4 linked regions of the Astyanax mexicanus genome follow. The protein of the gene in region 1 interacts with the protein of each later gene in a pairwise test. Links are inferred from orthologs where the notes say so. Each region holds a gene or a part of one and is shown on either strand. Other genes may lie near its edges. The genes, in order: amotl2a, myo5b, rad51d and gcc1.

What was found.
Region 2: the proteins of amotl2a (region 1) and myo5b interact in binary tests that used the Homo sapiens proteins (3 or more experiments, as listed by UniProt). The two-hybrid records come from large-scale screens. The link is inferred for Astyanax mexicanus from reciprocal best matches to the Homo sapiens genes AMOTL2 and MYO5B.
Region 3: the proteins of amotl2a (region 1) and rad51d interact in binary tests that used the Homo sapiens proteins (3 or more experiments, as listed by UniProt). The two-hybrid records come from large-scale screens. The link is inferred for Astyanax mexicanus from reciprocal best matches to the Homo sapiens genes AMOTL2 and RAD51D.
Region 4: the proteins of amotl2a (region 1) and gcc1 interact in a two-hybrid assay, tested with the Homo sapiens proteins (2 studies listed by BioGRID and IntAct). The two-hybrid records come from large-scale screens. The link is inferred for Astyanax mexicanus from reciprocal best matches to the Homo sapiens genes AMOTL2 and GCC1.

What each region holds. Positions count from the first base shown.
Region 1 is NC_064412.1:48,138,149-48,145,996, forward strand, and holds the start of amotl2a (angiomotin-like 2a), read right to left. Parts: upstream 3,177-7,848; 5' UTR 3,003-3,176; intron 1,411-3,002; 5' UTR 1,328-1,410; coding exon 606-1,327; intron 350-605; coding exon 157-349; intron 1-156. UniProt on the Homo sapiens protein: Regulates the translocation of phosphorylated SRC to peripheral cell-matrix adhesion sites. Required for proper architecture of actin filaments.
Region 2 is NC_064424.1:6,583,129-6,590,591, reverse strand, and holds the start of myo5b (unconventional myosin-Vb), read left to right. Parts: upstream 1-4,258; 5' UTR 4,259-4,463; coding exon 4,464-4,493; intron 4,494-7,463. Other genes in the region: cfap53 (cilia- and flagella-associated protein 53), read left to right, coding at 773-875, 983-1,208. UniProt on the Homo sapiens protein: May be involved in vesicular trafficking via its association with the CART complex. The CART complex is necessary for efficient transferrin receptor recycling but not for EGFR degradation.
Region 3 is NC_064408.1:29,034,237-29,042,464, forward strand, and holds the start of rad51d (DNA repair protein RAD51 homolog 4), read right to left. Parts: upstream 3,152-8,228; 5' UTR 2,743-3,151; coding exon 2,661-2,742; intron 2,554-2,660; coding exon 2,492-2,553; intron 1,554-2,491; coding exon 1,435-1,553; intron 251-1,434; coding exon 169-250; intron 1-168. Other genes in the region: tmem248 (transmembrane protein 248), read left to right, coding at 4,978-4,980. UniProt on the Homo sapiens protein: Involved in the homologous recombination repair (HRR) pathway of double-stranded DNA breaks arising during DNA replication or induced by DNA-damaging agents. Bind to single-stranded DNA (ssDNA) and has DNA-dependent ATPase activity.
Region 4 is NC_064409.1:35,743,088-35,751,458, reverse strand, and holds the start of gcc1 (GRIP and coiled-coil domain-containing protein 1), read right to left. Parts: upstream 3,295-8,371; 5' UTR 3,190-3,294; intron 1,673-3,189; 5' UTR 1,620-1,672; coding exon 534-1,619; intron 1-533. Other genes in the region: ADP-ribosylation factor 4, read left to right, coding at 5,638-5,704, 7,644-7,724, 8,186-8,295. UniProt on the Homo sapiens protein: Probably involved in maintaining Golgi structure.

The sequences.
Region 1 (7,848 bases):
ATGCTTAAAGAACACGGACCAAATAAACATATATATATATATATATATATATATATATATATATATATATATATATATATATTCACACACATGTCCATACTTAGTATAAAGCTCAAAACATGTCATGTCAAGGCAAAACCAATCGATTTCTCTTACCTTCTGTAGTCTCACTGCTTTCTCACTGTAGCTCTCCACCTCCCTTCTCAGCTTCTCATTTTCCTTTATGAGTTGTTCCATTTGAGGATTAGGAGCCTGGATGCTGTATCCTGCGACGATGACCTCCTGGCCAGCAGGGGGCAGTGTGGGCAGGGTATTGTTTCTGATCACCTGTGACTGGGCTGGTACATATCTGGAAGAAACAAACCAAAAATCAGGGTTGGTATGCTTATTTAATTTACTTTTGCAAAAAACGTGTATTATATGTGATATGAAAAGATAGACCTGTCAAAATAATTATGTTAGCAATTTATCTTACAGAATACGAAAATGTCATTTTTGCTGACAGTGATACTGGCAGTTGTGTTAACTTTGTTATGAATGTTTATGAATGTCAATATAACGTCAATAATATTGTCTATTCCAATGATCAAATATTGATTATTTACCTGTGGTGCTGCGAGTGGAACGCCGGAGGGGGTTCTTTGTAATAGTGCCCGTTCTCCTGCGAATGGCTCAGCATATATCCAGGGGATTTAACGGTAAAGGGGTACTCCGGAGGTGGCCCGCGCTGATCATGCCCGTGATCAAGGACAGCAGCACCAGCGTGGCTATGCCCGAATAGCTGGGGGTAACTATGCGATGAGCTCATTGGCATGTTATCATGAGCACCGTTCCTTTCCAGGGAAAGCTGCATGAGGCGCTCACTTAGTGACCTGGCATGCTCCCGTTTGAGGTCCCATGTGCCCTGGTCCTGCTCGAGCCCCGAATCTGCGCCGGGGGTGTCCAGCCCACCCTGCTGCAGGCCGGCCTGACCCCTCTGAGAGGCCAGGTACTGTGAGTGGGCCTTGGCCTCCTCGTAGGTGGGCAGCTCTTCCGTGTGGAGCTGGTACAAGTGGCACACGGGGCTTTCCGAGTGCTGGTAGTCCCCCTGGTGCTCCTGACCCTGGGGTTCCTGTCTCGTGGACATCTGGAGGAACTGGGACTCCTCCTGAGTTAGGCTCTCCAGGGACGAGCGAGGGCTGCCAGCGCCCCCGCCGCTGCCACTGCCACGCAGGGCCTGCTGTTGGATGGCCAGGAGAGTGCGGGTATCCGTGGGGTTGCCATACCGAAGCTGTTCCTGGATCAGCCGGTGCAGCACCGTGCCCGAGGACTCCTCCGCGGTTCTCATCTCAGTCAAGGTTCAAGTGTAGTGCCAAAAGAATATAACACTTGACGTGATGATTGAGCGATTATGTGGCTTGACCGGTCAACCTGGGTTTAAAAGTTAAAACAATTACAAACATTAGTAATGAAAATAGCATGATAATAAAATTATAAAAAGTATATATATATGTAAATAAATAATATTAAAAACTAAAAATAGCCTGTGGTTCAGTGGATTATACTCTTAAACATTGTGTGTAGACCCACACTTAAGTTCAGTTTAGTACAACAAACTAAAATTGGCCTATGTTTCAGCAGGTAAAGGCAGTAGTTCTTAAACTGTGGTCTGTGTCCCACTGTTGGTATACCAGATGACCTCAGAAAATGTGTGGAATGCACTAAATAAAAGTAATATCTGTTGTTTTAATGTGTAACTTACATAACAGTTGTTTTTGTTTAATGCTTAGCTGTAGTTTAATCATAGAGCATCATTCAAAAAGAGAAATTTAGGTTGTGAAATGGGTTTCCCTCCAGTCCACATGCCCCCTCTAGAGCAACAACACCACCTCAGCCAATAAAAATCCCACATAAACCCCCTCAACCAACTACATTATGGCTTTTCACAAATATCCTCACACATTCACTATCAATTTTTGCTTGTCATTAATTTCATAAAGGTTTTTTGCACTAGATTACAGCTTGTGAAACACAGTTTCACACACAGACCCAACATAACCAACAAAACCTCCAGGTATGTGTAACTTGAGGCAGTTTGACCTTATGGCATTTACTAGAGTCTGAGTGAGACTTCTGAACCTGCATTTGCGTCAGTCTTTTCCTGCTCCAAATTCCTCTCCTGTAGCCTCACCTTCACGCAACTGAGCAAACTCACATTATTGAGCAAGCAAATAAGGCCTCATTTACAGCAAATAGTGCCAGAGTATTCCACACAACCCCAGATCCACATTTAACAGTCCAAAAAGCTGGACAACATAGGAAACATTGGAAACATGGGAACGCTTTAATAGTTCTTGGTACAGATGTTGTACTAACTAGATAATAGGTTAGTATTTTGTTGTATCACAATAAATATAGTTTTATGAACATACAATAAATATTGGCAGTGCTAAAAAACACTGATCCACTGCAAATCATAGCTAAACTGTCCAAAGAAAATCATGTATTCCATATATTGTCTTTATAAAAGAAGGAAAAGGTCTTCTTTACTTTATGCAATAAAATGGATAAAAACGTTTTTTCTTTTTTCAAACATACTTGATATATCATTACAGAAAGTGTAGCTAATTATTAGTGTTTAATTGGATTTTAGTTTAGTATATTTGTAATAAAATAACTATATTAGCTAAAAGTATTGGAAGCATCTGAATATTAGTTTTCACAAATCTGATTTTTTGTGCATGTCAAAATATTGCAATAAAAGTATTGTGATACAATATTATATACCATATCGTCCACCTCTAGCTAAATAACTAACACAGCAAGCTACATTCTTTAAACAGAAGTAATAAAACACAGAAATAACAGATAACTAGTTTAGTGAGAGAACAGAAATAGGAATCCAGTAAAGGAAAATAGATAAGATACACAAATGTATGTTAAAAAGAAAGCGAAAATGAGCTTAAACTGAAAACAAATACACATAAACCCGCAGTTTGTGGCTGTTTTACCCCAGAACTCACCGAGTTACTCCGGCATCCCTGCAGAAATATGAAGTTTATGAGGGTAAATGCTGAGTTTTAGATCCTTTAGAAGTCTGTACAGCTCGGCGGCTGTGTTTATATCCGTGTTAAAGCTGCTCGCGGGCTGTGCTCGCGCTGCGCTCCGGCGGCGGACTGAGGCCGGGGGGAGGAGCCGCGCTTATTAAGCGCTCGCGCTGATTGTTCTCCGGCTCCGGAATGTCAGGAATGTGAAGGCTGCGGGTCCCACAGGGATTCACACAAGCCCCGCCCACCGGACCAGGATTGGCTGCTTGCGTTCCCGCTCCTCTGCTGGGATTGGTGCAGAGCTCAGTGCTTATATGTTGAGATATATTTTATTTAATCATGTTTATTAATGATTATATTTAGATTTACTCGAGTTTTTAACCACTTTTTCATATATGAACAGTTTTTTACCAACTTAACAAAGCAACTAAAACATTTATTTATACATATTTAACTTCTATTTAGGAATTTCTAAAATATATATTTAGATTAATTCTAGAACAATTATGTAGATCTAGCTTAGATTTACAAAAAGATAGTTAGTTTATTTATACTTAGCTTTAATCCATCTATTTTCAATATATTTGTATAGTTTATATTTCGTTTCATAATTTTATTGCTATTATTATCATTTTCTCTTATTTTATTGATGTTTTATTGTAAGTTTACATTTATTTACATATATGTTTTCTTTGTGTTTTTATTGGTGATCGTATGAAATGTGCTAAATCAATAAAGTATTGTATAAAAATATTATGCAGCCAAACATACACATACATTTTTATTGTGGCTGAACTTCATCTAATTAAACAGCACTAATTACACTGGCTGTAGTGAAATGGTAAGTTTGTCAGGGTTCTTGAAGCAGAAATTATTAAAAGTATATTTTGTATAATTTCTGAAGCATTTCTGCTACTGATGGATTCATTAGAAGGGGTGTCCACAAACATTTGGACAGTATAGTGTATCTGTAGCGTGAATGGCAGGAATGTTCCATTAGGTGTGAATGGGTGCAGGTTAGTTTGGCATGTAGGCCTATATGTGTGTGTATGTATATGAATAGAGTAAACATGAATAGAAGGAATGTTGACTCCTGTTTTCTCATAGATTTTTAAACATTACTGTAGAGATTTAATTGCTTTCAGTGACAAGTGTTACTGAGAGCAGAATGTTGGATGAGGACAAAGGCAGCCATATGTGTTCAACATAATTTGTCCTTTATTTCACTGCTCTATACCCCCCAAATATTTTACACACATCTACACAAGGTATGGGTAAGTAATAGTTATTTATTGTTTACAGCATTTGAACACACCAGCTGCCGTTCACATTGTGTCCAGGTTTTTACATTGACTTCCACTGGAAGTTAGAAGTGGTTCAGAGAAAAGTATCCAATTGTTTTATTCCAAATAACTTTGAGTCATTTCTATTAGTCTATTCACCATATCATTTGAGTTTAAATGGGTTTAAATAATAGAAAAAAAAATCAACAAAAATGGAGATACATGCTTTTCACACAAATCATATCTCGCAAACAGCTACTTTTTTGTTGTACAAAATTACAGGAGTAAGAAAAAAGGTCAATGTAAAAATATGTTATTTCAAGCCATTTTGAAGTGTTTCTATTGGTCCAATTATCATAAAATTCCAATATAAAAATGATAATGTTTAAGTTCACATTCTGAATTCTGAATGCTTTGCCACAGTGCAATTTTCCTATTCATTTCATTATTAAAAAAAGAAAACACTGTTTTTCACCAATTTAATCTATTTATTCTATTATGTTGTTTGCAGCACATATCTAAAAAAAACTAAAGAATACTGAAACCTCCTCTGTAAGATTAAAGCGGTATATTTGAACAGGAGTGTGTATGGTGAGTGTGGAATGTGTTGAATGAGAAAGCTGGTAAAGTATTGATTTGAGCTCTTTTGTTTGCCTTCAGCTGGTGAATATTTAAGCCCTGGCCCGTGCCAGTTAATTGCTGAGTGTGTGTCTGTGTGGACAGTGAGGGAGGGGTGTGTGTGTGTGTGTGAGAGAGGCATGCTGCCTGCCAGCTGTCTCTGGAGTGCACTGGTCTACCCCTCCTTAATAAGCTTTCAGATAGACGCATTGTTCTTCCCACAGCAGAATTACAGGGGAGAGTCTACCATCTGCTCCTACATACACCATACACCACCATACACACCCCCCACACCATACACACACCATACACCATCCCCCTACAGACCCCTCTCACTATATATCAACGTTTTTTACACAACCCAAAAAAAAAAAAAAAAAAAAAAAAAAATATATATATATATATATATATATATATATATATATATATATATATATATATATGTGTGTGTGTGTGTGTGTGTGTATGTGTGCATAATGTTTTTGTATGACGTATGTTTTTGTAAGAATGTATGATGATTTTATTCCAAATAATTCAAAGTATTTTTTTTATTGTTTACATGTTGAAGCACACAGAAAATACTGATGATACATATAGTGACCATCCAGCTTGTTATCAGCACACAGCATGCCATTTAAAACAGAAAACATTTGGTACATTATAAAAGAAAAAATCTGGCAAAAAAAGATCTAGCATTATTGAGCAGCTACAGGTAACATTCTTAGAATATTTAATCTGTTAAGTTTTCTGGATGTTCTTAGAATATTTTAATTTTACACTTTTAGATATTCTGGTAGCGTTGCTGCAACATAGTTTGTGTCAATGTTTAAATGTTTCGTTTTTATTAACATTTTCATAATGCTAGTATTCATCTAGCTGGGAATGTTGGGTGAAACATTCAAATAGCATTGTGATGCAAACCATTATTATGTCACACTTTTCAGGACATTCCTGTGAGTTTATTACTGTAACATTACAAGCTAACTGTCCTAGAACCTTTTCAAAACCTTAATAAACATTCTTATAACATTCTCTATTATCTGGGTTGGAACTAAGTGTTTATGATGAGTTTAATAGACATCAATGTCAACATAATTAATAACTTTCTATTAAAATTTTGGTGGTGCAAGAGTCACACTAGAGTCTGTTCACCTGGGATTATTTTAAAAGCTCCTGTAAGTGTGTAGTGTGCAGTTGTCCCAGTACCTTTGTCCAAAAAGTGTGTTTCAGAAAATCAGAATAGATCAAATATAGGCCATATCTTTTTTGTAGGACACTTAGCTTATAAGATGTCCTGTGCAGCTGCTTACCTTTGCCTAGGGCAATAACAGTGCCTGTATATAAAGTACGTAAACACTACATACGTACTGTAAACACACTCACCTGCACGCACACACCCCTATACAATCTACAGAATGCAGGTGCTTTGTGAAAAGGAGAATAGGACTGATCTCAGTTTTTGCAGCACGTAAAATCAGTCCATTTAACCCAATACTGAGTCCAGATGGTTAGTGAGAGGCAGCTGTGTGTAAAGCAGCATGTCCTCGCTTGTTGATGCTAGTGAGCAGTTGGTGTGCCGGATGTGTGGATCCACTGCAATCATATCACCACATGGATCTGCTTTTACCAACATCCTTCAGTTAACAAACTAAACCCACCCAAGAACCGGATCATCAGCAAACATTTCACTCAGAAAACGCCCGGAGATAACAAAAATCACTTAGTTAACAGAGATAGCATTCTCTAAGCTGTTTAAGCTAAGCTAAGAGATTTTAATCCAAAATCGGGTAATACGTAGTGTTTATTTATCATTAACATTTCCCTGTAGTAATGTATTGCCAATAGACTAGAAGAAAATAACAAACCAGTGTTAAATACATTTTAGATAATTTATATTCTACTAACATTAAATGATAGAAGGGATATATATATTTTTTTTCAGGAAGAACTATTAGTACTATTACTATTACTAGTACTATTTTTCAGGAAGTACTATTAGTATTATTAGTAGCTGTACTATTAGTAGCTGTACTCACTAACTCAGCTGTACTCACTAACAGAGAACGCTATGAGAACGCTTGGCAATGTTTTTAAAAAGGGTCTAGGAAGGTTAGCCTGTAATGTTATTATAAAATAATATTACAAAATGTTCAAAAATGTTCTAAACCCGTGTGATATAGTAGTAGTATGTATAATAAAGGTTTGCTTTACAACATTATTAGAATGTTTTTTACATAACGCTCAAAGCTAAATAGAGCTAAACAAAGCCATTTCTATTGCGCCATTCATCATAAAATTTATATACAATATACTGTATCAGATAAATGAAACAGATTCCTTTTTATGTTTAAGGGTAATGCTGAGTATATCATCCATTTTCTCTATCCCACTCATTTATTTTAATTTGAAGGTGATGTTGACTTCAATACAAACTCTCTGCTTGTGATTTTGATTCAACAGTGAGGCTCACTAAATTATGTTGCTTTAAATAATACTTTGGTTAGTTGGGGATCGGGGTGGGTTAGTGATCATCCACAAACCTGACCTCACTAGCAAAAACAAATCCTCACAGCAATGCTCCAAAATCCAGTGAAAAGCTTTCCTGAACAAAAGAGACCAAAGGATCAAAATGTGGTCCAACAAAATAGATTAATTGATTCATGGTCTGGTTTGTTTGCAGTGTAAAAACTCTTTTGTAAATGGTTCAGGCTTTTGGAACAATTACAGAAAATTGAGTCAGACTATCGTCACCCATAAAACAATAGAAGAAGTAAAAGAAGAATTGTTGTGCTAAAATATGTTTCCCTTGGGGATGTGCAGGAGCGTTACGCAACAGTATGAGTACAACTGATTACGGTGCTGGTGATTCTGTATCTATTGTAGCTGTAGATCAATCTACAGTTACAGAATCTGATCATTCT
Region 2 (7,463 bases), on another chromosome or scaffold:
CAGCCAAATACAAACCAAATGCTATGTCATTATACACCACTAAGAGCCGCTGGATCCCATAGACACTCTAAGCCATGTCTCCAATAGGCGGCACAAAAAAAGATGCAGTCCCACAAATAAAAAAATAAAAAATACACATTATTTCACACATTATCAGCAACCAGTATCAGGTTAAGAGCTGTTATTATTAAAATAAAAGCTTAAGTGTATATATTTTCCAGTTTATATAGGGTATTTTAAGCTAAATGTAAGATGATTTTCACAATGCTAACCTAGCCAAAATTCAGCGTTTACAGAGCAGCAATGGAACAATTTTAACTCGCTGAGTTTTTATAACCAAACAGATTGTATTTTCTTGTCCTCTTTAACTCTAAATCTTTTAATAAACTGCAATAATGGAACTGTGGTATAATCGGAATAATACACTCGAGGTTTGTGATATAACATGTAATATTGGCACTGCTGTGCTGATTTATAGTACCTGGTCTGCAGCCTTGTGCCTACAATTGCAGCACAGCAGTGCCAATATTACACAGTATAGCACAAATCTCGAGTGTATTATTGCTTAAGTTTTGGATTGGCACTCCTCTACTTAGTGGAAATAAAAATAATAAAACTCTATATTTTCTGGGCCTGAGGTTTAAAATTAGAGGATGAACATAGAAACAAACAAATATACGACTTGTGTGAAAACTCAAACTGAAACATGCTGATAATTATATCTTCCTTTTTTGTTGTTGCTTCGTTTCTTTCTTTCTTTTTTTCTTTCCAGTGGAGCGTAATGCACAGAAACAGGTTGAACTTGCGAAGGAGAGGGATGACCTGAATAGAGTCGTCCAGGAGAACAAGCTGCTGGATGAACAGGAGAAAACTCGGTGGGTTTTCTTCTAGAATTATTCTATCATGTCTCTCTTCCTCACTCTACATCTCTCTCAGTCTACTCAGCCTCAAATCATTAATACAGTGTCCCGCTGTTCTGCAGTCTCAGGGAATCCTGTCTGGAATATCAGGCTGATCTGTTGGCTCAGATTCTTCACCAGCAGCAGCTGTGGGAACAGGAGCAGACTGAGCAAGAGCAGGAGATCCGTAAGGGCCTGGTCTATCAGGAGAAATACAACCAGAAGATTCAGGACATCCTGTCCAGGCCTGTCTCCAACACCACAGCCGTTCACCCCTTCAGGCGACGGGCTCGACCCACCTCCAGCTAAACCTGCCTCAAGCCTATTGCCTAACGTTGCATGTTTAGCTTACCCAGTACTCTGATGTTCCTATGAAAGACAAAAACTGAAATAAAATTAATTTCACAAACTGCATATTCAGTGTGCAGACATTTCTTCAACCAGAAAGGCTGAGATTAAACAAATTCTCACAACAGGATACTATCCAGTCAGATACTATTCATAATACATGGAAATTCCAGCAATTATACTGTTTTTTGGCAGCAGGGTTGCCAGAAATTAGCCATTACAAAACTTTTTTTGGCACTCTGCCTCTGCTGCTGCTGGAAAAAAAAAATATTTCCATAAATCAGAAAAGAACTGTTAAATTAAAGTATCAATTAATGGTCAAAAGTATTCCAAATACATGATTTACCTGTTAAACATAATAATAAACATATATAATAAACAATAATAAACATATATACTTCCACTATGTGTACAAAAAAACATATATTTATATGTACAAAAACTACTTTAGTACTCAACATGACGGCTTTAACAGCAAAGAAGCAAAAAATACTAATTCCCACAAAAGTCTGATACTATCCATACTATATGGAAATTCCAGCAAGTTATTGTTTAATTTCTTCGTAATTTATACTGTCAAAAATCTGTAGAAGGATTTTTTTTTTGGCAGCAGGGTTGCCAGAAATAAGCCATTAAAAAAGCGTAATCTTCGTAAATTATAAAATAGTAAATTATTTTTTTTTTGGCGCTCCTGCTGCTGGAGAAAATCAAAAAACCTATTCATAAAAACAGAAGAACTGTTAGATTAAAGTATCAATTAATGGTCAGAAATATATATATATATATATATATATATGTTTATTTCAACAGGTAAATCAGGCATTTGAAACACTTCTGACTGTTAATTGATACCTTAGTCTAACAGTTCTTCTCTGTTTATTATGGGTATTTTTCTCCAGCCACAGGGTTGCCAGAAATAAGCCATATAAAAAACAAAATTGCAAAAGTGCTGGTAAATTGCATTTTTTACATGTTTTTTCTCTGGCACTCTGCTGCTGCTGGAAAAATAATTAGATTAAAGTATTAATTAATGGTCAAAAGTATTCCAAATACACGATTTACCTGTTAAAATAAACATATATACTTTCTCTATGTGGACAAAAAACATATATTTATTTGTACAATAACTACTTTAGTACTCAGCATAAACTAAAGAATACTTAGAGTCTGTATAAAGCTCTCTCCTCAAGCACGACAGCTTTAACAGCAAAGCGCTTTCATAAAAAGAACATGTTATAAAGATAAGTCACACTGACACGCCCTCAGATAGATTGTAGTATTATTTAAAACTACCAAAAACATTTAGCCAGCTTCCCCAAAATCCTCTCTTTTAGACAATTAAGGAACACAGCATAATAAGACTGCTATTAAACATTATGTAATAGCTTTCTACTTTTTGTCTTTACATCTTAACTATTAAAATATGCCATATTTGTGAAAAATCTAATGGTCAAAATATTTGCTTGTGAAAGATCTGCTACAAAAATTTGCATGCTTTTCATGTGTGACGTACAGCTAATTTTAGGCGAGGATTAAGCTGTGTGTACTTTTGTATTATGTTGCAGTCTGTTTATGTACCTAAATTTGCAAAACTGGCCAGACCTGACTGCCTGGAGTTCTATGGGGTCAAATTGAATACTCCTCAAACAGCTATTTAAACAAGTCGAATCATATCCCTGGTGAAAAAATATTTATATATATATATATATATATATATATATATTGTACTTAAAACATATTGACAAATGTCTAAGTTTGCTGTAAATATACTAACAGATTTATGTACTTAAAATATATTAAAAGTACATTAATATTAATACTTTTTAAAAAGTACAATATAGTGTATTTAAAAAAATAGACTAATATGAAGTTCACTTTAAGTTTAATATAATTCAATATACTTCTAAAATACGTATTTACAAATATACTTTTGTACATTTTTAGCAAAGTGTGTTAAAAAAAACAACTGTTACAGCAGTTCACTTAAAGTAAAATTTATCATGTAACCTTTTAGAAAATAAATTTAATGTAATTTTGTAACACACAAAAAATTATAGTACAGTATATTAAAATATATTTTTATACCAAACGAAGTATACTATTTTTTTATACTTTTTATACTAAAAAGACAGCAACAAGAAGTATATATATTTGTAATGTAAATGGATCACATATATTTAACTTCAATTCTTATTACATTTCTAATATACCTGGTGTATAATAATAGTGATACAGTTGTAATACTCATTATTAAATGTATATATAATATAATATATAATTTTACTGTAAGCATATTTAAAATATGGGGTTACATACATGAATTAGTTTAGATGATTAAATGTTACTTAAATATATTTAAAATTGTTTCATTTTATTACAGTTAAGCACACTTAGCACAATTTAAGCAAGAGTTTTGTACTATTTTTTATACAATTAACGTATAATAAGTGCAAAAAAAAGCTCTCTTTAAATATATTGATTAATAATACTTTTTTTCTCACTAGGGATGTCCTACATAAAGAAAAGGTAATTCTTGCTGAATCAGTGAATCAGTAGGCCTACAGTATGGCACTGTAGCTTACCATAAGTTGTTTGTAAAGACATTTAAGTCAAGATATCTGTTGCTGTGAGACAGATACGCCCCCACAATACAAACTCATCCTCATGAAGTCATACTGAGACAGTGTGTTCGTCTTGAATGTGTCTGTAATGTGTTCTAATTACCCATGTACAGTAAATACCCTGAATAATGAGCCACTGGATTGCAGATTGCAGAGGTTGGTATAATGAATGGGCAGAGAGCTTCTATCCAATAGCCTTCTTGCTTAAATGATTACGACAGGTGTAACACAGCCTTTGTTTGTGCAGGTTTGTCTATTCCATGACAGGTAAAGCACGTTAAAGAGCTAGCTCAACACCTCATACCTGCTGAAGGAGTGGTTTGGGAGTGGAGCGATTTGCCTGATGACATTTCTGTCTTCTCCCATGTTTTGTTGCTCAGGCTGTTACTCAAGTCCTGGTGTGAGTCTGCAGTAGTTACTTCACTCCCTGTCTGAGGTTCACAACCCTCAGCTTTGTGCTTCATGTTAGACGTCTAGAAATGAGTGGAGAAGAAGGAAATATGGTCAGCAGCTTCTCAGGCCTGTGATTCAGATCACTTGTTTTGTGGATACTGATACAGTTTGTGGGTACAGTTTTCGGTTCAAAGAAGAAAGCATGACGACTGTTTCTGATCTTTATGTGAAGGTAGGTCAGTTTATTCTACTTTGCTTGAGTGCTTAAAATGTGATGCATAATAAGCAAACTCAAAATAACTCTATTAGAGTTTTTGGATTTTAACACTTTAAAAGTGTCTATTTTAGGGTTTTTTATCGTATCGATACGTGGCATCAAATACCAATATTTTTTATTGAAACATAGTCGCTCTTAACTCCCTAACACTCGCTCCCAATTCAACTTACTTAAGTTTCTGCTTCATCACTCCACGTGGTGGCGCTATAATTAATAAATAGGGTTAATAAACCTGCGGTGCAAAATATTATTTGTTAAATTCTGTGAAACTGACACCAATAAAACAATAAATACTGGTATTCATAGAGAATTATCATGTGATATCATCGTTATCATGGGCAACATATTGTGATAATATCATATCGTAAGATTCCCTGTGATTCACAGACCTTATTTATATGGTTTATATTTTAACACTTTTAAAAAAGTCTCATAGAGTTAATTCTGACTCTACGTAAGGAGTTAACACTAAAACTAACAGTGATAAATGATCTTAACACTGGTGTGTAGTGTTACAAATGAACTCTTCTGAAGAGTTAGCTTTTAGGACTAAAAAACTATTTTGGATCATTTGGCTATTAATGATGACAGCTAGCTAAATTAACTTTAGTGTTAATAATAACTGCATCAAACAAGGAACTAAAAAGACAATATATCTGTCCTGCAGTGTTAGTTTAATTCACATTACAAGGAAGTTTAGTCACTTGTTAGCTAACTAGCTGATCTTACTTGTACAAAAGCAAACTCCACCAAGTGTTGGGTTAGCTCTGGAAATATTTTGCTATGTAATTTGAGACCTTTAATCCCTTAAACCCTAGGTTTATAGATTAAGTATAGATTATTTGGCAACTGTTGGGCTAAGCATATCATGTGGAGTCCCACATGGTTCTATTTTGGGGCCAATAAAGTTACTTTAATTGTGAGAGTAGAGTAGTTTTCAGAAGGTGAGGAGGAGTGGAGTGTGGGGTTAAATACTGGGTCTTAGGCAGACCTGAGTATGGTACGGCCCACAAGCCACATCTGATTCCTATAGCTTTCAATAACGGCCCTTCACATATCCACCTTAGAAACTGCACTGAACTTCACTGCGCTTGTTAAAACCCAAAAAAGACTAGATTTCTCTTACTGAACAAGCAAAAAATACTGAAAAACAGTAAATGAGCTAATTACACCATAAACCAAACAGCAATAGTGCTTTGTATGAAGTGAATTTAATGCTGTTCTTAATTGGAAACATAATTGTTTATGAGGATGTGGATTAAATTATGATATGTCTCTACCAGTTTTAGCTTATCAAAACCATATAATTACTCCATTTTAAAGGGGTAATTAACTTTAAGCTGAACTGAGATCAGTCGGTCTGGATCTCCAAAACAGATCCAGTTTATTATGTGGCTCCTTGGGAAAATTAATTGCCCACGCCTTTGTCTAAGGGCTTACGAGGTACTAACACATCTCCTCACAGACCAAAAACATGGTTCATTATGGATCTAAAAGAGTTTTCCCTGAACCAGTGCTGCATTTTTAAGAATAATTAAGAATCTTACTGTTCTAATCTCATTTTATCCCATACTTTTAGTAACTTTAGGTCTGAGGCGTGGTGCTGTAGTAACCATACGTGAATTTGTACTTGTGTCTCAAGTGTGACAGAAGGTCACAGCAGAGACTATAAAGAAGGATTAAGGGATTAAGAGCTGGAAAATAGCCTACACTCAAATTTTATTCATGAACTAAATGTGCATGTCATTATGGTGCCCATGACAAGGAGAGAAAAGAGATTTTGACAAGCTTGTGCTACACCCAGTAACTCACACATGCCCTCTGCTCTCTCAGCACTTAACAGCAGATAACAGAGCAAGTGTGCTTTAATGCCTGAACCCTGCAGAGATATACTGAGATACAGCACCAGTCAAAAGTTTGGAAAAAAGCTCTATAGGAACACAAAAAGTGTTAAACAAACCAGAACATGTTTTATACTTTAGATTCTTCTAGATAGCACATTTATCTTTGAGGACAGAGGACAGATCTCAGTGTCTTCATGAGGGAGACTCTCCTGAAGTAGTTTTCTCCTCTTGAAGGAAGGAGTTTCTGGAGGTGCTGAACAATAGTTGCTGTTTTTCCTTCACACTGTGAAGCTCCAGCTCATACCAATTAAATCACCTCAAATCACCATCTCAGTTCATCAGGTTTAGATTAGGGGATTCATGTGGAGGACTAACACTTTTTTACTGTTTACTATGTAACTCCATATGTGTCCCTTGATTGTTTTAATGTCTTTAATATTAATCTATCTTATCTAGAATTAAATAAAGACAGGTGTGTTCAAAATTTTGACTGGTACTGTTCGTTGTTGAATAAAACAAATATGTACAGACATATAATGCAAAATATGTGCAAAATTTATATACCAGACACATGAACAAAGTGTTTCATTTATGGTACATGCAGAATAAACATTTTTGTAGGGTTTTTTGTTGCAGACTTTTGCACCCATTAGCAAGTCCTGTTTTTATCTACTATGGCCAGTGAATGTAACTTGGTATCAAAATTACAGACTATGTACATATCGAAGCGCAAAGAAAAGGCAGAAGCAAACAGGACTTTAGCAACAAAATCCACTTTTTGTCATGAAAAACTACACACTTAAAATTATATCAGGAATCAGGAATGATGCGTTTCTTTGATTTTTTCAAATTGAAAAACTCTGGAATATAATCAAGAGAAAGATGGATGATCACAAGCCATCAAACTAAGCTGAACTGCTTGAATTTTTGCACCAGGAGTGTAAAGTATAAAGTTATCCAAAATCAGTGTGCAAGACTGGTGGAGGAGAATATGCCAAGATGCATGAAAACTTTGATTAAAAAAATATTAAAAACCAGGGTTATTCCACCAAATATTGATTTCTGAACTCTGAACTAAAAC
Region 3 (8,228 bases), on another chromosome or scaffold:
TATACTAATCTGGAAATGTTTGTCATTTAAAAGATGTAAAGCACTTACAAGAGACTACCAGCAAAATCTACTAAATTATTATTATTATTATTATTATTATAGGTGAAAATGTGAATGGATGGAATTTTATACGTTTGTTTATAGGTGATGTCAGTGAAAAAAGCTCACCTGTGTTTTCCCTGTTCCTGGACCTCCAGCCAGCTCTGTGATTTCTCCTGAGTACAGGCCAGAATCAAGCAGCTTGTCCACACTGCAGACAGGAAAACATGGAGAATGCCCTGATGCTAGAGCACAGTTGTACATGGACATACAAATTACAAGCATCTCAAACAATTCATGTAAATGCTATTTAGGCACATTGTTTTTCATTCGTCATCTAAGTTGAAGGTCATCTCAACTTACTTATTAAGCTTATCTTTACAAATCAGGATGTGAGGGGAATATGTTAACATATAGATATACAGGGGTTGGACAATGAAACTGAAACACCTGTCATTTTAGTGTGGGAGGTTTCATGGCTAAACTGGAGCAGCCTGGTGGCCAATCCTCATTAATTACACATTGCACCAGTAAGAGCAGAGTGTGAAGGTTCAATTAGCAGGGTAAGAGCACAGTTTTGCTCAAAATATTGCAATGCACACAATATTATGGGTGACATACCAGAGTTCAAAAGAGGACAAATTGTTGGCGCACGTCTTGCTGGCGCATCTGTGACCAAGACAGCAAGTCTTTGTGATGTATCAAGAGCCACGGTGTCCAGGGTAAAGTCAAAGTCAAAGTCAAAGTGGTTTTTATTGTCATTTCAGCTATATACAGAGTACACAGTGAAACGAAACAACGTTCCTCCAAGGACCATGGTGCACATAAACACAGTGTAGACAGAACAATAGTGCAACAGTACAAAAGTGCAGACAGACAATAAAACACCATACAGACAAAGAATAATAAATAACAAGACAGTGTGCAAAAAGGACCAGGTGAGGTAGTAATTACTCTATTACACAGTGAGGTAGTTGGTGGTAATGTCAGCATACCACCAAGAAGGATGAACCACATCCAACAGGATTAACTGTGGATACAGGAGGAAGTTGTCTGAAAGGGATGTTTGGGTGCTAATTTGGATTGTATCCAAAAAACATAAAATCACGGCAGAATTCAATGTGCACCTTAACTCTCCTGTTCCGCCAGAACTGTCTGTCGGGACAATAAATTATTGTGGTCTAAAACCAGGTGTTACAGTTTCATTGTCCAACCCCTGTATCTGTTTTTTTCCTACCCATACATTTATCCCCTGTTTACCTACAAAATGAACATCTAGCGTTGAGTCAGTAAATATGCACAGAATACAAAATTACAAACAAAATCTCTAGATATATTTTATTTGTACCATGCAGCTTAGCTACACATTGTCCTCTGTATATTTTATCACATCACCTGGGAATTCCTGTAGAGAGAATAGAAGTGGAGCTCAGTAATTCCTCGTACAGGTCTGCTCCTGAGATGGGGAACGCAGTGTGCTGAGCCAGAAGTACCCGTTTAAGAGCCACCAAAGCCTGGAATAACAGAGGACATTTGGCTGTTGTAACATCAAGGCACTCAAATCAAGATGGTCAAAGTATGGCTGATTGTTAAGGATTTTATCTAGCTTGTTTTCACTAGTCACTTAATTTGGATCTTGATTTTTGAACTGGATTTGGACAGCAGTGCGTGATGCATACATGCTCTGTAATTTATATTTTTAAATAAATAAAAGAATGTAAAAAGATGCATTTTTTATATGAGTATTGTATTGTATATATTATACAATAAAATGACACAAATGCAGTCCACCAGCATTGCGTAAGGTTCAAATCAACTATTCAAATAGGAAAAAAAAATGGTGTGTATGATTGTTGGTGCCAGATGGGCTGATTTGAGTGTATCTAGAACTGCACAACTGGTTTGTGTGCGCATAAAAGGGTAAAGTGTGCACTTAAGTTACTTCTGAACTTGTTTTGACCTTTTGGACACAGCTACTCCAACAGCCTGGAGCAAGAATACAGTTCAAAACACTGCAACAGTGTTGTCCACACTTGCTTAAATAATGGAATGTACTGAATATACAGATCCAGCATAGTAAATGGAATTCTATTCATAATTTGTTCAATGATTAATTATTATTTATTATTATTATTATTATTATTATTAACTGTTATATTTTATTTTACATGCAGACAATTGTTTTGATGTTTTCCTATGATTCCAAGAGGTTGCATATTCTTTAAGATATCTATTAAATTTGTCCTAACTTTCTGTGTAACACAGCTTTAAATCTTCACGTAAGGGCGAATAGTTTAGTAGTTTTACTGTGGTGGTGGTTAAAGGGGGGGGGGGGAGCTTTTACTGTTTTAACCACAAGTATCTCTACTTTAACTCAGGTTGCTAGGTTAGCTAGTTAACATACATGGTTTGGGTACTTCGTTCACCACTGGTAATGGCTTAACCTACAGACCTTATAAGACACCGAGCATTTCTGAGCCAGTTCTTCTGCGTCAGAGGAGACAAGGTCTTCCACTGAAAGATAGATAGGACGTGTTTTAGATGTGTAGGCATGTGTAGAAAATGCAGAATTAACCACAGGATATGTCAGGCTGTTATTTGTGTGCTATGGTTAACGTTACCTGTTCTAATACATTCTCCCTGTAGAGCTTTCACCATGTCCTCACTCAGTCCTGGACATAAACCTTCCCTTAAAAGAACCATCACCAGCTTGTTTTGAAATATTACCTTCAGCTGAAACTAACAGATAACTGGCTACATTTACAACTAATTACTGATATAACTAGCTAACCAAGCTAACAAGCAAACGGCTGGCTGAAATGACTTTTTTTAGTTAACGTTAGTTAGCTAAACTGCCCTGCTAGCTAGCTAGCAACTAAAGCAGGAGTGGTTAGCTACATCCTCGCTTCAAGTTAACTACATTCCCCAAATACGTCTGCCTGAAACCGTACTCCACACTGCTCCTCGACCGCAGCTACGTGATATTAAAACCTTATAAAATAAATGTACTTAAACCCACTAGGTTAAAGTTACATATTTACAGCCGCGACTCCCTGCCTGTACGCGCCTTAGGTTCATAGCTAAACAGAGCCAGCAAGATTGGCAGAAATTTCACCCAATAAAAATGTGTCCTGTTCTTTAGCGACGTCGTTTCAGCCAATGAAAATCCACGTAGAGGTCACGGCCCGCCCCCGTGGTGAAGCGAACCTCTGGAATTACGTAAAAACAGGTCTTCCAAATACTAAAACCAAAACTTCAGTGCAATAAGGTGGAAGAGGTGTCATTTAATATAATACGCGTCATTTATCCAGTTAAAATGTTTTATAAATATTTAAATCAGACACAGAATATACCTGTGATTTTGTGGAACAGGGAAAGAAACGATTGTTTATTTATTTTATCACTGTGTTTACAAAAGAATGGTTTAAACAAACATGAGAGCAACATATGGATTGATAGGTTATATCTGATGTAACGTTATTGTTTTTGTGGTAAATTGGAAGCGAAAACAAAGTATCTCATATAATTGTTTCAGATAACAGGGCGATTTCATATTCACAAAGTGAATTAGACTCTCTCAAACCCTTTTAAATATTAAGTAAGAAAAAGTGAGTTATTTTGTTTGTTTGTTTTGTTAATTATGTTACTATTAAATGCTCTTGACTGGGATATAAAACGGTTATAAAAGAACTAATAAAACACTACCCAGCTGGCACACAACCGACCTTCAACGTTGAAATGTGTTTGAAATATGACTAAAGTAATGTCTGTTGTTGTTTTAACGTTGAAACAACGTTGAATCAACATTTAATGTTCAATGGTTGTGCTAACGTTGAAATTTTAATGTTGAATCATCATGTAATGTTCAATGGTTGTGCTAACGTTGAAATTTTAATGTTGAATCAACATAATGTTAAATGATTGTGCTAATGTTGAAATTTTAATCATGAATCAACATAATGACCTCAACCTTCTGCCTTTTAAATCAGCATTTTACATTTTATCACCATATAATTTCTAAAAACGGTTGGATGGAGAAATGAAATAGTGTTTTACTATTTGCAGTAACTGCTTTTTAATTCAACACCATGTTTATGTTCTAATAGTTTTACAGTTGTAGTGTTTTTGAGATCAGATGTTGAATCAGATTGGTAGTGTTGGGTAACTTTCTTTATACTCAGCTTTACTACAGTGATGTACGCTTACTGTCGACACTGTTAACCATAGGATTTTCTCATTTTAGTGAGCTATGGTTTATTAAAGGTTGAACGTATGACGTATGACGCTATATCATTGATTCAACGTTGATTCAACCATAATATCTACGTTGATCAACGTTGATTCAACGTTTATTCAACGTTGAAATGCCAGCTGGGTAATGTTACAATATTGTGACACATGGATGAATAGCAATACTGATAATAACTCCCTTATAAACCATACGTCGCGCACTCAGTTGTTTTGAAATTTGCTTAAAATGTGTCACAGACATATAAGTTATTTTGGGCTAGTTTAAACTTCTGAATGGCTGTTTTTATATTAACTTTGGGCTGGATATTTTTGTTGGACCTGGCAACCTGTCTGAGCGGGGTTTTTTTTTTTCAGACCTGGCAACCCTAGTGACTAGCGTTGTAGCTAGTGCGTCGTAGTTAGAAAGCGCTAGTTTCCTGAGCCACTGAGTGAGTTCCTTGTTGAAGTAAGCTAACTGCCTGCCTATTTTTTTTTTTCTAAAGGCAGCCCCTATTGTTGCTTTACAGGGGTGACAGGGGAGCGGCAAATAATGGGAAGGAGTGCCCGCTGCTCCTGCACCGTCACTCGCCCTGTCTGTCCCCCGGCCCCGGTCCTCACTAGCTCCAGCAGTCCGTCTGTGGAAGCGTCTGGAGCCTGCTAGCTCTGCCCACCGCCCGCCTGTACCCGCTCTACTGACACAGCGCCAAAATGGTGAGTTTAGGGGGTCTGTTCGCTATGTATCGGAACACGCACCAGTGGTTCTGTACATACATTAGGTTATATAGGCCAGCTAAGGGTCTTTGTACGTTTTTATTGTGGAATTTTGCTAGTATTTATGCTAACAGGCTACTAGCGTTAACAGAGACGACGCCAGCTAACGCTAGTCTTGCTGCAAGTAACTTGGGTTGCTAGGCTAATGTAGCTAGCGTAGCATAAACGGTTCTGGCTAACGTAGCTAACTTAAGTGGTTTGCAGTTGGTTTTGAATAAAAATAGGAGATGTAGTTAGTTCGCTGTTCGCTAACAGGAAATAAAAGCTAAAATAAAGGTCTGAAGTTGCTGTTACTGATGTAAGTTACGTTTATTATCATTAGCGAACTAGCTAGCTAGCTGAACTAGTAGCAGTGGGTATAGTCCAGGTCCAGAAAGTAAAAGACCAGCCCAGGATTTTGTCTGTGCGGCTCGCTGCAGCTCAGCCCAAAACAAAAGTGCGGGCTGGAATTTTACTTTCTGGACCTGTACTAGCTAGAAGCTATCATGGAGCCAAACTCCACAGCTGCGTAGCTAGCATGTCAGCTGACAACACAGTGCTTTATTAGCTAGCCACTGTTTCCTGGATTTCTGCTGCTCGTATTCAGTTAGCTAGTTAGTTCATAAACACGACAGTATAGTCCAGCAGCTGTAGGTTTAGCTTTTACCAACAATATAACGGTTAGTTGTTAACCTTATTGTGTTGCTAGTTAGCTAAGCTAGCAATTTGTCTCATCTGTTTGATCGCTTCTGGACGCCCATACGCAGAAAGCTAGCATTTAGCTGTCAGCTGGAACCAGGATAACTCTTACTATTCTACAAATAGAATAACATAAATCAACATTATGCACAGATTATCAACATCATCGTCACGTTCATTTGTTTCACAGCCTGTCTGACTGTCTGAAGTGTGACATTGACTCATTCTTGTTGCTGTTGTTAGCTTCGATGTCTAGATGTGGCACGATTGGAATTTCTTAAGCTAACTTCCTTAACTAATACCTATACATTATTAAAGCGCGCATACACGGTAAAGTCCACATGCTTCAGCAACTACAAAAGCAGTGACTAAACGAAGCACATAAGGCACATTTCCAATGCAAGGTTGTGCCAAAGGCCTGTCTGGAACGGCTGAGGTATCTAACCAAGATGTGCAGGTAGCTGCCTAGGCAAACGTGACATAGCAGTGTTTTGCCTATGCAAACTGAGGGAAAGTAGATGCATTCCTGGTTATAGATGGACTTGCTTGAGTTGAAGTCTTTTGGCTGTAGGCGTTGATGGATCTGTTGTGGTGTGATCCTCCAGGGTGTTCTATAAAAATAGTGGCCTTTGAACAGTACACTGGGTATTAAAATTAAATGTTGCTGCATGTATTGTAAAGTGAATAATAGTCCTGAAGAACTAATATGGTTAAAGAACTTGGGCTGCACAATATATTGTTTCAGCAAGACCATAGGGTTGTGACAAGACACAATATTGAGTTCACAAGAACAAGACAAGATTATAACTATACTTTAATTTTGTAAAATTGAAATATATGATAGAAAATATTTTATTTGACTAAAACTCACATACAAACGCAAAACATACAGGTGAATATTTAAGTATTCAAAGCAGCACTAGGTAGGATTTCCTTGATTTTTGATCTTTTTAAAGAAGTGAAATTACAGCTTCAAACTCACTGCAGCGCTCCATTGAGGTGTAACAGGAGGAATAGCGGTGCTCTCGTGTCTGTGCCGGAGCTCCTCTGTGCTCAAACCAGACTCTGTAAGTTTTCCGAGGCGGCCGCGACCAACGCTCGCGAGAACTGCGACCTGCTTTCCGACCTTTAGTTCTAACAGTTCGACAAGGACTACTGATTCATTCTTTACAAACTGACATTCAGACACTCTGGCAGAAGCTGGAAAGAGACCGAATATGTCTGTGAAAGCCAGAAAACGACAAAGAGAAACTAATCCGCCTGAAACATTTATTACACTCTACAACTGTAGGGGGAGCCCACGGGCACAAAATCTAAGGCCTACCTAGTGGAGCTTTAACTACTAAAAAATGTTTTTGATACCGGTAACGGTTTGATACTTTGAATTCGTTACTGATACACAAGCAATACTTTTTCCCAAAAGTATCCCTAGGGGGTTATTTATTTAACTGGCAATTCTCCTTGAGGGTTCTATACAGACCTGCCAATCCTCATCGCATCACACAAAGTTGGTAATGTGTGTGGTGCACCACGTGGATCACGGAACAACATGAGCATGCGTGTGTACAGCAGCTACTGTTTGCTGCCCAAAATAATGAAACATTTGTTTTGGTTACCTGTGCATAAGTCTGGTAATACACATTTTTAACACCCGGTGAGAAATATTGTGCTATTGTAATCTTGTGAGATCTCGTGGCACAAGATCACCGAGCGTGCAATGTGAGATTATATCAATCATACCGCAAGTTTTTTTGCAGAGGCAAATTGTACGTCCCACATCTACACCTGGTCACTTCATGTGTCTTAAATAGTAGGATTATTTCTGGTGTCTGGATAAGCCAGAGCCACATAAAAATGCAAGCGTAAACACACCAAAGACACAAACCACTTAAGAAGAGATGAGATGCATTTGAGCCACATGTTATAGCAATGTAAACACATTCATCTCTCCAAGATGCATTTGACAACCAAAGCTTCTCCCAGTACAACCAAAAACACAGTAATAATTGTCTCACAGAGTGGATTTGCATATTCCATCCCACACAGCAGCCAGATTTCAGTCCTATTTACTGTAAATGCAGACTACCAAGTGTATATGCATGTGGCTATAATTGTAGTAGGATTCAATCCAGAGGCAAAGCACATAAACTGATCAGGTGTAAACAGAATCTTTACCTGTTTAATGTAATGTATTTTACTAAAACCTGGCATTTATATCATGGCATGCAGGATTATTGACTTCTACCAAGTTATGATAAAAAAAAAATCTGTTTTTTTATTTTCACAATGTATATGTGTATTTCTGTATGTTCAGTATTGTGCAACTCCATAAGCAATCCATTTAACATTTATGCCATTTGTCTTATGCTTATGATCCAAAATGACTAATATTGGCATTTTTATATGTTGGTAGGCAAGTATAGAGTTATAGTCTTGCCCAGGGACTCTATTAGTCAGCCACAAACCCTAGTCAGCCACAGGAAGGGCAAGGAGATGTTGTTAACCACTAT
Region 4 (8,371 bases), on another chromosome or scaffold:
TCTGAAAAATCCTGATTAATCCCACTTGTCTTTCACATAAACACATTGTATTATTGGTGCCATTATTGTTTTTTTCTTTCTAATATTGCATTAAACCACAACAATATTCTGTGACTAAATCATGGATAAAATCAGTATTACATTTTTAAATGCTGGTCCTGAACTGTATTTTTGGGAAAGGGACAGTAATAATGGTGTACAGTGTGGTTAAGGTCTGGCAGACTTTTTTACTGTATTATAATATCTCTATTATAATTCTGATGGGGGAGAGGGAGGGAGGGAGAAAGAGAGAGAGAGAGAGAGAGAGAGAGAGAGAAGCATAAACTCTAGTACAAAAAAAGGCAATCTACCTTCTGAACCTGACAGTAAGTGTTTCTGTGTTATATTGCCAAATAAAACTGCTAATGCATCACCAGGCTCTGTCAACTGTGTCATTGATTCATTGTTAGCTACATTAGCAGAGCTTTTTTATTAAAAAAAGTATTGTCTGGTCGCTGGCATTTTAGAGACATTTGCAGTTGGCCAACACTTACCTTCCTAATCTCGTGCTGAATCTGCTGGTTAAATTGTGCCTTCAGGTCAGCAATCTCTTGCTGCAGCTCCTGTACCCTTGGATCAGGCTTATTTCTCTCAGCCTCTGAAGCCTGCAGACTCTTCCTCAGCATTTCACACTCCTCAGCCATCTTCTTCACCTGTTCCTCATAATCTAGTCCCCTGTCTGCAGCTTGCATGGTTTCCACCAAGGTTTCTCTAGCATCCTCCAGTTTAAGTTCAGCATCTTGTCTTAGACTTCTTTCCTCTTGCAGTAATTTCTGAAGCTCACGGAGCATGTGGGCATGATCACCTTGCTCCTGCTCCCGCTCGTGCTGCTGTGTGATTACGCGAGCCTTGCTCTCTGCAAGCTGCTCCTGCAAAGCCTGAAGCTCATTCTGGTACTGCTTGTGTGCCTCCTCCATCTTCCCCTGCATCTCCTCAAGGTCTTGCTTCATCTTCCGCTTGTCTGCTTGGAAGGAAGCCTCCATTCGAGACTTTTCCTGAGTGACCGTGGCCAAAGAGTTGGTCAAAGTAGACAGCTGAGACTTGAGTTGAATCACCCGGCGATCTACTTCAGCAACTGCTGAAGCAACGGGCTGATCTACACCTGCACTGCTGCCGGAACTGACGCCACTCTCCGAGCCACTCTGAGTGTCTTCTGACTGCTGGATCACTGATCCTTCTCCAAGGCCACTCTGATCTTCCTCTAAAGGGTCACCCTTAGTGCTGCTGCTGGTCACACTGGTAGCCGTGTCAACAGAAGCTGCTGTGTCCACACTGTCCTCACTGTGAATGGAACAGTGGTCATCTACAAGGTCAGTAGGTGGTGGGCATTCTGCTTTGCCAGTGCATCCACTGGAAGGTGGGTCATGGCTGTGTAGGGTTAAATCCACCTCCTGGGACACAGTGAGGACGTTCAGACTAGCTTCCAAAGCTTCCTTCTCTTTCAGCAAACTTTTATACGCTCTGACAACATCTTTTAAACGGGTCTGATATTGGATAAGTTGCTTCTTCTGGGCCTCAATTGTGTCAAGCAGGTCTTTCTTGCTTGGGCCTCCACCAAAGCTCATTCCAAACTTTTCCATTGTGAGGACACACTTAAAGTGCTTTCATAGTAAGAGCTGCAAAATATGTAAACCTGCAGAAGTTTAAAACAGAGGGAGAATGTGTCAGTAAATGCAATATTGGCTTGTTGGTTAAATGTTTAGTTACTACTATAATGAATGCTCCAAGTTAGTGATTATAAAACCTTCACATTTCATCATATTTTGGATATGTTATATGAACATATAACATATAATTGTTCTCTTCTCTTAACCCATTTAATTTAGATTTTTTTTTCGCCGGACATAAAAATATCCAAATCCAAAATAAGTTTTATGACAGGTCACAAATGTGACTTTGCAGCATACATTTTACATTTACCTTCTATGTACTTATCAAATAATATACATAACCCAGGCTAGTTATCACTATTTTGGAACAGAGCTCAAACAAAAAAATTACCATTAAATGTATGATGCCCATCATCCACTTTTATCTAATAATAGTGTACCTGGTATGTATCCGGAATAAATAAAGTATATATTTTTCTGTTTAACTACTTTATCTGTAAACTTTATTTGATTGTGCCGATTCAGTACTGTGATATATTTGTATATATACTTTAACAAAATAATTATTTTCCTTTTTCTAGTAAAGTAGGCAATTTGGAGAAGTTGTGACAGCGGTGACATTTAGTATTACAAGTGACAATACTTATAAAATATACTTAAGCCTTATTATAAAAGCACAAATTTGTTTTATTATACAATTTTTTAATAAATATATTAATTTTATCCTGGGACAACAATAATTGTTATAGTATGTAACTGATAAGCATAGAGATCATATTACAATAATAATTTAGGCACATTTCAATTTGTCTTTAGTGTTTAATTGTGCAGCTTAGACAATTATACTTCAATTGTATTAGGCAGAACTATGCAGAACTATGAATGTGTTTAAGTATGTATACTTAGATTCACTGTGTTATCCCATCAGCCACTATTATTCCAAATACATATATCATTACTCAATACAGCCATTACTTTGCATATTGCAATCAGGGTTTAAACAGCTCTGGTTATGTGCCTGTTTATATCTGTCCAGTCTCATTTATTTTTACTTAAGTTCTGACCATAGTGCAGCCCATACTTATACAATATTTCAATGTCAGCTACTGATTTACTGATTAAATCCAGCAATGACGAACTGAACTAGGTAAAACAGTAAACACTACAGCACATGGCACCCAAAAACCAAACACTGTGGAACTGCTTTAAAATTACTCCAGAGGCTGCATCACTATCACACACTAATCTGCGAATTACAGGAAAGCATAAACTACAACATCTTATAACTGTGGTTTCTACTACTGAAGTCAATACTGTTTTATTAAATCTTAATCCTGAGGTAACTTAGATAGGTTAGGTTAGTTAGGTTAACCTAACGTTAGGTCAGTTACTGCAAGCGGACCTCCTTATCATAACAATTAGCCCGCGAGCTAATCCAAACGGCTAACAAACAAACCCAGCAGAAACCCGGCGACCCCACTAAAGCAGCCGCTCTTTAAACATGTGATTTTTTTGTACTTTACTTAAACTGATTAAATACCTGAGATTTTGCATAAAGCGCGAAAGTCTCTCAGCTACGTGTCAAAATAACATTCCGTCTCTTCCTGCTTCTCTCCCACTCACAGGAAGTGACGTCCTGAAAACGCCTGGTGGCCTGTGACCCTATACGTAAAAAAAAAAAAAAAAAAATATATATATATATATATATATATATATATATATATATATATAAAATAATTAATTAAAACGGTAAATAAATATTTTAAATGAGAATTATTTCATTTAATTATTTATGTATTTATTTAAATATGAAAACGAAGCATAAATAATTAATATATATATATATATATATATATATATATATATATATATATATATATATATATATATATATATATATATATATTAATTCATTTATTTATATAATATTGTCGCAAATAACCCTCCATAGATTGGACAGTGAAGGAATGTAGTCGGAAAAATAAGTTATAATATATATACTTATATGCCGCCTAGCCTACCTAATGGCGAAGCAGCTGGTGTTATGGTAAATTCAGTTCCCCCTTTTCCCCCTTCACTGCGCATGTTGAAATCATGATGTAGCGCAGCTCTGATAGGTTCCATAGACCACTGTCATTATTTTTGTAGGCGGTGCCATGTTGTTTATGTCCATATTTGGGGTTCCGTGTCTAAGCGGTTCATGTGAATGGCGAATTTGAATAGGCTTTTTAAAAACTGGCCTCTATCACATTCTATCACATTCCTAATTATCACTGGATCCTCTTAATTTCGAGATCATTTAAGGGTTCGCGTTTACTTGAAGTTTGGTGGGCGTGAGATTTGGAGGGGGTGGGGGTTGTTTGGTGGTGGGGGTGCACACAGTTCCTCCTCAGTTGTTCAACTGGGGGGGAATACCATGTGTGGTGTGTAAGAGTGTTAACTTGCTGAGGTGGGTGTGTCACACGCTCAAAGCATGAGATTTGAGAACACTGTTAACAGCAGCTCAGATCAGAGACCAGTTAAATGCCACACAGAGTTCTAGCAGAAGACCCATCTCTAGAACAACTGATAAAAGGGAGACTGCGCAAAGCAGGCCTTCATGGTCAAATAGCTGCTAGGAAACCACTGCTAAGAAGAGGCAACAAGCAGAAGAGATTTGTTTGGGCACAAGGAATGGACATTAGTCCAGTGGAAATCTGTGCTTTGGTCTGACGAGTCCAAATTTGAGATCTTTGGTTCCAACCGCTGTGTCTTTGTGAGACGCAGAAAAGGTGAATGGATGGATTCCACATGCCTGGTTCCCACTGTGAAGCATGGAGGAGGGGCTATGGTGGTGTGGGGGTGTTTTGCTGGTGACACTGTTGGGGATTTATTAAAAATTGAAGACACACTGAACCAGCATGGCTACCACGGCATCCTGCAGCAACATGCCATCCCATATAATTTGCATTTAGTTGGACGATCGTTTATTTTTCAACAGGACAACGACCACAAACACACCTTCAGGCTGTGTAAGGGCTACTTGACCAAGAAGGAGAGTGATGGAGTGCTGCGACAGATGACCTGGCCTCCACAGTCACCGGACCTGAACCCAGTCGAGATGGTTTGGGGTGAGCTGGACCGCAGAGTGAAGGCAAAGGAGCCAACAAGTGCTAAACACCTCTGGGAACTCCTTCAAGACTGTTGGAAATTTTTTTTAGATGACTACCTCTTGAAGCTCATTGAGAGAATGCCAAGAGTGCAAAGCAGTAATCAGATCAAAGGGTGGCTATTTTTCCAGAAACTAGAATATAAAACATGTTTTCAGTTATTTCTCCTTTTTTTGTTAAGTACAAAACTCCACATGTGTTCATTCTTAGTTTTGATGCCTTCAGTGAGAAATAGTAGATAGTGTAAAGTATAATAGACAGTGTAAATAGTCGTGAAAATAAAGAAAACGCATTGAATGAGAAGGTGTGTCCAAACTTTTGGCCTGTACTGTACATCACCTCTTTACAGAAACATAATTACATTTCTTAGTTAGGTAGTTAAGCACACCATGCTACACCAATAAGAGGATCTGGACAAGACTTCTAATACATTAACATAAATAGGATTTGGACTCACAATACAAAAAACATATAGTTAGAGAGTGGGGACAGGTAACAAATGCTATTTCTTCAGTGTTCTAAGTAGGTTATTAATGTTTTATTATTAAGTTATTTTGTGTGCACATTTATACATGTAATTTCCTGGGGACAGAAATGGCACCGATTCGGCGGAATATGCCTTAAAGTGAGTGTAAAGTGAGTGAGTGAGTAAGTGCACTACAGAGGGAACAGACAGTCGTTTGGGACTGGGCCTCACTGAAGACGCGCTGACGTCATTTCTTCCGCGTTGGCCTGGCCGTGGACGGAGGTCAGCTGCAGAGACAGAGAGCGGCTCCACTGCTGGAAACACCGGCTGATTTATTCTGTTATCAGCTCTACATCTCTCTGATCTCCTGACCATGGGAATCACCATATCCTCCCTGTTCTCTAAGCTCTTCGGGAAGAAGCAGATGAGGATACTGATGGGTGAGCGAACGGCTGTCTGTCTGTCTGTCTGTCTGTCAGAGCTCTCGGCTAATGAAAGCGAGACCCTCTGATCATCACAGCCCTTTTTACACATTAACACCATTAACACATACGAGCACACCGCTAATGCTTTACTCACAGCCTGATCAGCACATAGTCTCTTCTCCTTTACTATCAGTCAGACCGACCCTGAGCAGCAGGTCAGCTGTAGAGCTGTAGATCTGACCTGCGGACAGTTTAAGTGTCTCCTCCTGTTGTTTTATTGATGCCTAAAGTAATTTAATACTCGATCCTCAGGTGGGTCGATTTACCTTTACTCGCTCCCTGAGCACAGCCTGTTCTTTCTGATTTAATTAAATTGTTTAAATGTAAATACCTTTACTCATACGCTCCTGAATATTCATGAGATAATTATACACATCTACCCTTTTATTCCCGTCTATTCATTTAGTTCCTTGCTTATTTTCGGGATTAATTTAACCTAAAGAGCCCATGGTAATTAAAAGCTCCTTACAGCACTCTGTCCTCACTCAGAAACTCCTTCACTGATATAAACTGAACATAGCCCACTGATCATCAAAATTTGAAATCCAAATATGCAAACTATACTTGGATCAACAAATAGAAAGGCTGCAAATGCTGTAAATATTTGCCACCATTTCTTATGCCCCGGTATATCATAAGTTACACTGCCTGGACAAAAAATAGTCTCCACCTGCATTTAACTAAGTAAATGATGGGGGTTGCTGCAGTTGGGGGATGGGGTGTAGTAATGTAGTAACTAGGGATATACTAATAAGGGAACTCATGCAGATTATAAAATATGTCCACAGGTGTTTTTCTAATTAACTCAGATGTTGCCAATAAACCTATCAGAAGCTTCCAAAGTCATTATATGATCATATGGGCTGTGCCAAATTGTTCAGTCATAGTAATCTTAGCGTATGTAAACTTTTGACTAATAAAATGCGCACAAAATGATGTCGCTCTCATTATTCTGGCATTTGGAAAATATAATTTAGGAATTCTAATTGACCTAAAATGGGAAAGGTTTATTCTGATGTCATGTTAGACAATGAGGAAAAACAAGGTTAACCTCTTTTAAAGCCAGCTTTTTTGTCAATTTTCTGCCTGATATTACATGCCTAAATATTAAGGCTACCTATTCAAGCATTACATAAAAAGGGTTCATATTTGATAGGAAACATTACTGAAAATCTGAGAAAATATTTATTAAATATTTATTTAAATCTGCAACTGTAGATAATAAAACATAAAGTGAATAAAAATTATAGTGGATAAAAATCACAAAAATGGCACTTTCCTAAGCTTCGTTTTAAAATCTGTATTTTTGTGAATACAAATATTTTAATGTGCTTCAGAACTTTAATTTTGTTACGGTTGTCTAGTTTTTATGTCTATTTTCAAACATTTTTAAAACAAATTATTAGGTGGAGTAGAGGGTGAACTGGCAGCATCTCCTGTAGGAGAGTCTCTAAAGGCCTCAAATTCTTCAGAATGTAAATGGCTTATTTTGCTACAGAGAAAAAGGGTTTTATATAACCTACACATAAGTTCAGCAACCCCTCTGTTAGATGTAAGATTGTTGGTTGGTTTTATGATGGTTTAGATAATTCACAATTCAAGCAAACGCCAAAAACAACTTTAAACTTCAAAGTACTGAAGTACCAAATTGCATTGTAGTGTTTTGGTTCATCCAGCATTTGTTAGCATGGGCCTTTCAAAACTTTGAAGAACATACTTCTGGCATCCTTAAAAAAAATGTTACATTACAAAAACTTACATATTATTGAAAATAATAGTGTTTCATATAATTTCTTGTTGCCACCTCTGTACTTAATGTGAACTGAATATTGCTTGCTAAACAAGTGATGCTGTTTGCTTTTAATATTTCTTAATATGTTTGCTTTAATTGCAGTTGGTCTGGATGCTGCTGGAAAAACTACCATCTTATACAAGCTGAAACTGGGAGAGATTGTAACCACTATTCCAACTATTGGTATTTATTTTTTTATTTGTCTGCTAATTTACTATTTTAAGTCGCTCATTTGTGGCATTAAAAGAATGTAACATGGGTTTATGTGAGAAATAATATAGCCACTGGAGTGAACGTGAGGGGTTATGGATATTTGATTCATATTTTCCACAGAACAGGAAATGACTCTCTTGTGTTGCAACATCTTGGAAATACTGTTTTGTAAATGTATTTACATGAAACACATAGTTATAGTAGAGCCATCTGTTAACGGGTTTTCCAAAAATGTGAAAAACCCTTTAAGAACCCCATTGGTTATTTGACTTTACATAATTCTATATACAACAGTTCCGTTACTAAAGAACTTCATTCAGAGTACATTTGACAAATAGTACATGGCTTATCTCCTTATTATTATACATGTAATGTATGTGAATACATATTGTTAGTAATGTAGTTGTGTTGTTTTTTTTGATACTGCTTAGGGTTCAATGTGGAAACTGTTGAATATAAGAACATTTGCTTCACTGTGTGGGATGTCGGTGGCCAGGACAAAATCAGACCGTTGTGGAGACACTACTTCCAGAACACACAGGTATGCTCCATGGCAGCAAGAGGATCTTCAAGTAGGATGCCACACTGATCTACAGATGCTTTTTTTTTTTTTTTTA